Elephas maximus indicus: one gene and its partner. The protein of the gene in region 1 interacts with the protein of each later gene in a pairwise test. Links are inferred from orthologs where the notes say so. Each region holds a gene or a part of one and is shown on either strand. Other genes may lie near its edges.

Evidence for each region. The genes of interacting proteins can lie anywhere in the genome.
Region 2: the proteins of PRKAA2 (region 1) and CCNB1IP1 interact in binary tests that used the Homo sapiens proteins (3 or more experiments, as listed by UniProt). The two-hybrid records come from large-scale screens. The link is inferred for Elephas maximus indicus from reciprocal best matches to the Homo sapiens genes PRKAA2 and CCNB1IP1.

Annotation. Positions count from the first base shown.
Region 1 is NC_064821.1:100,488,246-100,491,994, forward strand, and holds the start of PRKAA2 (5'-AMP-activated protein kinase catalytic subunit alpha-2), read left to right. Parts: upstream 1-1,616; 5' UTR 1,617-1,933; coding exon 1,934-2,027; intron 2,028-3,749. UniProt on the Homo sapiens protein: Catalytic subunit of AMP-activated protein kinase (AMPK), an energy sensor protein kinase that plays a key role in regulating cellular energy metabolism.
Region 2 is NC_064828.1:30,473,500-30,477,248, forward strand, and holds the start of CCNB1IP1 (E3 ubiquitin-protein ligase CCNB1IP1), read right to left. Parts: upstream 2,446-3,749; 5' UTR 2,418-2,445; intron 1,119-2,417; 5' UTR 1,082-1,118; coding exon 785-1,081; intron 1-784. UniProt on the Homo sapiens protein: Ubiquitin E3 ligase that acts as a limiting factor for crossing-over during meiosis: required during zygonema to limit the colocalization of RNF212 with MutS-gamma-associated recombination sites and thereby establish early differentiation of crossover and non-crossover sites.

The sequences.
Region 1 (3,749 bases):
GAATATTGAAGGATTGACCCCTAACCAAATGAAAGTTCAGCATCAAAATGACTATTTTCTCCAAATTGCCAGCTCAGTTGAGTGATTCTTAAATACTTCTTGTCAGAAAGAAAGATGATGTGAAGAATGAACAAAAATAGCTCTGTTCAACAGCTGTGATATCTATAATTTATCAGCTGTGATCATCTCTCAGCAGATTGTCTTGGTGTCTAAAGAAGAATGAAAGTGTATTTTCCATTTGTATATGAAGTACTTCAAAGAAAACAAACTTCTCTTATACCTATTTTTTCTTAGCCATACATTTCTCTTTACATACAAGCAGCGTGCTAAGGGACCTCATGTTTGAAGAATGTGAGCTTAGACTCTATTGACACATACGGTGTTATAAATGTTTAATTAAAAACAAACAAACGAACAAAAAACCAAACCCGGTACAACCCCATGTGTTACAGAGTAAAACTGCTCCATAGGGTTTTCTTGGCTGTAATCTTTATGGAAGCAGATCACCAGGCCTTTCTTCTGTGAGGCTGCTAGGTGGGTTTGAACTCCAACTTCTAAGTTAGTAGTCAAGCACTAACTTTTGCACCACTCAGCTACCTAAATGTTCATCTAATCTTTAATAATTTGTCCCTAAACAGTAAATAATCTTGTTAAGTACTGAAAGGTATGACCACATTAAGGAAAGAAGGAAATAATTTCACTGCCAAATTGTCAGTCTTTAACACTCTGCCTGGGTGTCATGCCTCTAGTTTCCACTTACTATTTTTCTTTCACTTCTATCTTTATCATATTTATTATTTCTTTGATTTGGGCCATTTTATTGCCCTTGCTCTTCACAATTCCTCTTTGCCTCTTAGGTACTTTACTTTCTATGCTTATTACATTCAGTTTTCATTTCTTTCACTCTTTTTCCTTTGTACAGCTCTGTCACATACTAGTATTTTTGTACTACAGATTTACCTGAGCATGTGCTGAAGTACAACCGAGCAAACACTGTGACTTTGATTTATTGGAAAACTTTGTGCAAATTAGTTAAAATTGAGAGCTCTGGAGAAGAGGGTCTCTTCCATCTACACGGCAAAATAACTGGGAATTATAAAATATGTAAAGAACAATTAAGGAAAGCATAGAATTGGGTTCTGTATGTACCACGGCCAATCAAAAAACAGCCAGGTCCTGTCTCGAGAAACTTCCTTTAGCTCTCCTCAGACTGCCGTTTGATCAAGGTCCTTCCCACCACCCTCCCTGGACTTTCCGCACACCCACAGCGTATGTATATATCTATGTGTATCGATGGCACTAGTTTTTTTTTTTTTATTTTTTATATACCCATAGATATATATTTTTTACATCCCTTCCTGCTACTTTCACGTTTTTCCATTTCCGAAGATTCTTCCCAAATCTCACCTTCGCACTGTCACCGCCTTCAGTTTTCCTCATAAGGGGTTCCCGGGCCGTGTCCCTTTATCCCCCTCCTCGCAGCACCTGCCTGTTTTTGACCCTATTTCGGACTTCCCACACCTGGCTCGGGACCCCTCCCTCAAATCCTCCTGAGACGCCGCGTTCACTCCTGGCCCGGGCCCACGACCTCGCCGCCTCGCCGCCTCGCCGCCTCGGGCCCCGCACACAGACGTCTCTCACGCGCGGGCGCGGGAGCGTCCGCCTCCCCACACGTCCTCTCTACGGTGCGAGCGCCCGGCTCGCCGCCCGTTTCGCGTTTCCCACCTCGGCCAGGCCCCTCCTCTTCGCCACCTCCCGTCCTCCCGGGACCCGCGCCCGCACCGGTCACCGCCGCCTGCGCCCCTCGGCGTCTCCCGACTCGGCCCCCGCCCTCCGCAGGTCCCGCTGCACTGTGGGTAGGCGGCAGCGGCGGCGTCCGCGTCCGCGTCCGCACTGAGGAGCCGCCGGCCGCACCGGGCTGCGGGCGCCGAAGATGGCTGAGAAGCAGAAGCACGATGGGCGGGTGAAGATCGGACACTACGTGCTCGGGGACACGCTGGGCGTCGGCACCTTCGGCAAAGTGAAGAGTTGAGTATGCGCTCGAGGCCGCCGCGCGGGGCTGCCCGAGGCGCTGGAGGTCGGGCCGAGCCGGGAGAACCGCGGGAACCGCTGGAGCCCCGGGCCGCGGGAGGACGGGCGGGCGGGCGGACGGGCGGGGTGCAGGGCCTGGCGGCAGGTGGAGCGGCCCGGGGCCGCGCGGAGCTTGGTGGCTCCGGGAAGGGGTCGGGCGAAGAGGAGCGAGGGTGTGGGTGCAGGGGACATTTGACCCGGGTTCCTGGTACGGTGCCGATTTCACTTTCCAGTGGTCTGGAGCAAGGCACTTCTCACTTCCCCGGACCTCAGTTTCCTCGCCTGTAAAAATGGGAGACTGGAATAATACATCTTACTGATTACTGAGTTTCTTTTACGGGCCAGATGCCCTGTTAGGTGCTTTTAGTGTGATCTTTAATCCCAATTTGGTGAAGATATCTTCACTGCAAAGGTGAGAAAACTGGGATCCGTGGAGGTTTAGTAACATGCCCAAGGTCACACAAATTGGCAGAACCAGGATGAAGTCTAAGATGTCTTCCAATTCTGGCATTGCTGGGAGTTCCCTGCCATTCCTAGATTCTTTAATGCTGAGTCTCAGTTGGTGGGGCTGGAGGTTTAGCGGATGCTCCAGGGGCCAGGAGGTGGGTAGGTCTTTTTGCTGGCTATGTGAAATGCTGGAATACCGCTGGATTAAGTCATGGGTTAATTAGAAATGGGAGATTGGTTGGTGTTTGTCAAAGGAAGGTTTCTGGGATGGGGAAAAGGAATAAGGTTTGTTGGTACTGAACTTTTGAAGATTTGGGCTCAGAGGGGCAAACCTGCCAAGGCATATACTGCTGACGTCTGTTTTCTTGATGATAGGATCCCATTTTGGGGCTACTTTTGGAATTTTCTACTTCTTAACTAGTTATGTATAAACACCCCCCCCCCCCATAAGAGTCACTTGGGCTTTACTTAACATGTCTTCTCTCCAGAACTAGAGCCAGTTTATTAAAAGTATTTTCTGTTTGATTGTTGAAGGGTTGACTTTTTGTTTGTTTGTTTCTTCTGTAGAAAATGTTAGGTAGATAGTTTGGACATTTTATTCTGAGGTCTCTATTTTCTTCTAAAATCATGCTTTAGCTTCAAGTCCAGACCGTTGAATAGGTAGAAGAGACTCATTGTTCCCAAATTCCTGTGGTAAGGATCAGTTTCTATTTACTTTTCCATTTTTTAATGTCCATTCATTTGTTCAGAAAGCAGTTAATGAGCACCTACAGTGTGCTAGGCACTGTTCTAGGTAATGGAAATACAGCAAGGAACAAAATCAGGAAGGCAAACAATAATCAAAATATATGTAAAATATATAGTATGTTTAGATTGTAGTAAGTGTTATTGAGAAAAATGAAGTAAGGTAGGGAGAATAGGGAGTTTTGTGAGGTGTGCAATTTTCAATAAGGAGGTTAGGAAGGGGCTCACAAAGTGATATTTGTGTAAAGACCTTAAGAAGGTTGCGAGCTTCTCTGAAGTACCATGAAGGCTATAAAGTCCTGAATTACCTTTGAAAAACCTCATAGAGTAGATAGAATATGTTTAGAATGAATATAGGAAGATCAGATGTTGGATTAATACCTGTAACGTTAACTTGTTATTATCATTATCGAGGACTATTGTATTACAACATCATGCAGTTACTCAAACAAACAATGCCTTTGCCATCTGGACGTGTACACTCTGGA
Region 2 (3,749 bases), on another chromosome or scaffold:
CAGAATGTTTTCATAACAGAAGTATTTTGCCAATTGCCTTAGAAGTCCCCTTAGAGTCTCATATGCTTTTTGAGGGAACACTAATTGATAAAGCCTTATTGAAGGACAATTGGAAAACATACTGTAATTTATGAAAACTTTAAAATGTTTTTATCCACTTTTAGGAATTTAATCTTAACAAATAATTAAGGATGTCAATTTGACTATAAGAACATTCTTCACAACTTTTTTTATAGCTTGGAAACAAATCATGATACAATGCAACCATAAAAATGATGATTACAGAATATTTAGCCTAAATTTTTAATACAATATTCATAATAGATATATTAACTTTAACTGGCCATAAAAACAATGTGTGGTATTATCCTATTTTTGCACATAAATATATATATATGCAGAGAAAAAGTCAAGTAATACACAAAAATATTAACACGGTTATCTCTAAGTGATGGAATTATGGTTGGTTTTTAAATTTTTCTTCCTTTTCGATTTTCAACAACATACAACTTTGTAAAAAAGAAAACAATTTATTAAAAAGAAAGTTTTTCTGAAAGGGCTGACTCAATAGGGGGAGAGCAAGTGGGAGAAGGGAGTATGATGTATGTAAACCTACATGTGACAGACTGATTGGAATGGTAAATGTTCACTTGAAGCTTAATAAAAATTAATTAAAAAAAAAAAGAAAGTTTTTCATACATTCATAAAACAACAGTGAAGGAAAACACTGAAAGCGCCCACATATGCCTCAAGTCATACTCTCCAGAGATACCTAAGCACTAACCTGATATGTCCAGAAGGCCAGCGCTCGGGAGCTAATGTCCAATACAATCTCTGGTCGCAGTCCTGCCAACACCATGGCCTTATATTCCTCTGATGGACTGAGTTCTGTGCGGACAATATCTAGCTTTCCAGAAAGGGTACTGTTGCAGGCAGGGCAGATAGCTGGTGAACGACTAAACTCTCCACTGCCATGCTGATCACAGAAGATGTGAGAGCAGGCAGTGACCCACGCATAACCAGAGAGTTTAAGGCGACACTTCCGATAATTACAAAGCAGCATGTCTTCACACAAAGACATAATGGAAGAATAAGGTCTCCAGACGCTGAAAAGAATTCTAATAGGGATAAATAAGAAGGCTGAATAGGACAAATTGCAATGAAAATAAAGAAGCAAGTCCATAAATTTTTTAAATGAAATATGCAATGTAGTTATTACATTTTATTATGTATTTGTATTTTATTATAATCATATTGATTTCAGTCACTCAAAGATATTAGCTGTGTTCCTTTATTGTGCAAACCATTGCAAAGACCATGAAAAAAAATTTTTTAAACAAATACAGGTGGTTTCTAATCTAATTTACTAAGATTGAAAATGTGTGCACAGAAATAAACTTTAGGAACTTGTTGGTACAAACAAGTAAAAACTAAATCAGTGATTTTTGCCCTTCCTCAGTACCTAAACAAAAATCCAAATTTATTATCCATTCATGGTTTGCTAGATTGTTTTAGTACATCTCACACTTGACAGATATAAAAGTCTAGGCACTGATTTCAGCCATTCGTTAGTGTCAAGTATTTTAAGCTACATTTTTAGGTTTTCCATATTTGCTATGATTTCTCAGATTCTTCACGTGTTGCCTTGTTAAAAAAAAAAGAGTAGCAGCCTGCTAGAAGTAGATGAAAACTAATCTGCTTCATCCAAGTAATTGGCCATTATGAAGCCTGAAAGCCTTCAGAAAAGCAGGTGATGTTCTTATCATCACAATTCACCTGTTAATATGAACACTAGTCAATGCTATGCTTCTAATGAAAGCGTTTGTAAAAATAAATAAATACTATTTTTTAAGTTACTTTTCAGTATAGTGGCCACTCCCATTAGAATTATACTAACCCTAACAGGGCAGCAATATTCTGGACCTACCAAAACAAGTCATATACTTCATACTCCGTATAAAATCGTGACAAACCAATTATACACCAAATGTTCTCATTTATCAACTGACAAATTCTGTCAGTTGCCTCAGATATAGGGGTCAACAAGGACACCCTGACACCTTTATCCCGTGTCCTCTCTGGGTGAGTCTTCATTGGTATGTGGCACCTGGCAGCGGGAGTTATCAGGCTTACTTTACCTCCGGAAGGGTAACAGGCAAAGGGGACACAGAAGAGCTGGGGACAGTCTTGAAATTGAGTCCTTTCTCTGGCAGAGCAAGATGTACAGCTAATTCCAAGATTTCCACAAAGTGAAGAAAGGAGTCAATTTAGTGGGCTGCCCAAGATATCCAGAGGCAAGTTTTTAGACCAACAAAAACTTCACTCTGGGATTCTTAGCCTGCCTTACCGCGCTAAAAAGAATAAAGAATAATGATAGTGATTACAGTAATAATAATAATACAAATAAAAATACTTACCCTGAGGCGCCAAGAAAAAGCGCGGGAAAACACCGTTGCCACCGCAACTTCACGACGAGCGAGACTGCCCAGCTCGCGCGCGGACACCGCGCGAGAGCGCATGCGCGGAGTGGCTCCACGACTCGGGCCGCTCAGGATCCTGGGACCTACCGGGCGGTGGCGCCAGAGCTGAAGCTGCGCTGAGAGGGCGGCTCTTCCTGACCACGCTCGTTGTAGGCTCTCCAAGGCGGCGAATCCGGCTGCTCCTAGTACGATCGGCCACTTCAGAGCCCCGCAGATACAGTCACAGAGTGCCGTTAACCGCCCTCTATTGGCACAAGTGTAACACCGTCGCTATCGTTGGTCTTAAACATTTGAAATAAAAGCCTCTTGAGGCGAGACCAGGGAAGAGCTGAGAGAAGGTAGCAGGCCGGATTGTGCCCCAGGTGCAGGGTACAGGCAGGCGTTTGACCTGGGAAATTTTTGGAATTCCCAACACAGGATTTGAGTTTTTTTTTTTTTTTCCAGGAGAAATTCCTAGAAAGGATGTGATTCCTGTAATTGGACAGCTATCACTTCCATCGTGAAACAGATTCTACCGTTTCCTTTTTAATGCATCTTGGAACAGAAATCTTTGCAGCTTTTATAGATTCTCTAAATGCAAGTTAAGGAGCCCTGGTGAGCAATTATTAAGCGCTCAGCTGCTAATGGGAAGATAAGTGGTTCAAACCTACCAGAGGCTCCAAGACCTGGCGATCCGTTTCCCTAAAGATTACAGCCAAGGACCCTTATGAGGCAGTTGTACTCTGTCATACAGTGTCCCTGAGACTCAACTACAAACAACAAGTACATTTTACAAAATATAACTTTCCTTGACTGAGTGCATTATGAACATTCATTACAGCCCAGTAGGGTCAGGTGTCACATCGTTTTTAAGGTTATATGCCTGTTCACACTCCTTGAACGGCTGTGCTGTTTAAATGTACCTGTTTTACCCTAATGCTGTTACCTGTCATATCTTGTGCTTTCCTATAGCAGCCACGCTATTTTCTACATAATCTGCATGGGCCTATTAAAATTTAGATTAAAAATTAGAGGAGGGCTTGAGGGATCCTCACGGGTCCATCAGTTTCCAATTTTCATTCCATTTTGGCTAAAGACCTTCAGAAATAACCCACGTATTTCCCAACACATTTTACCAAGTTAAAATAAAAAAAGGAGGGGGGGAGCTACAAAGTCTTAATGTCTGTCCAGTAGCCTAGAACACTGTGAACTGACCCAACCTGCTTCGTAGTGGCATGTGTCCCATTCTCTCATGGCACAAACTCTTCACTGGATCTGTTCTAGGGGGGT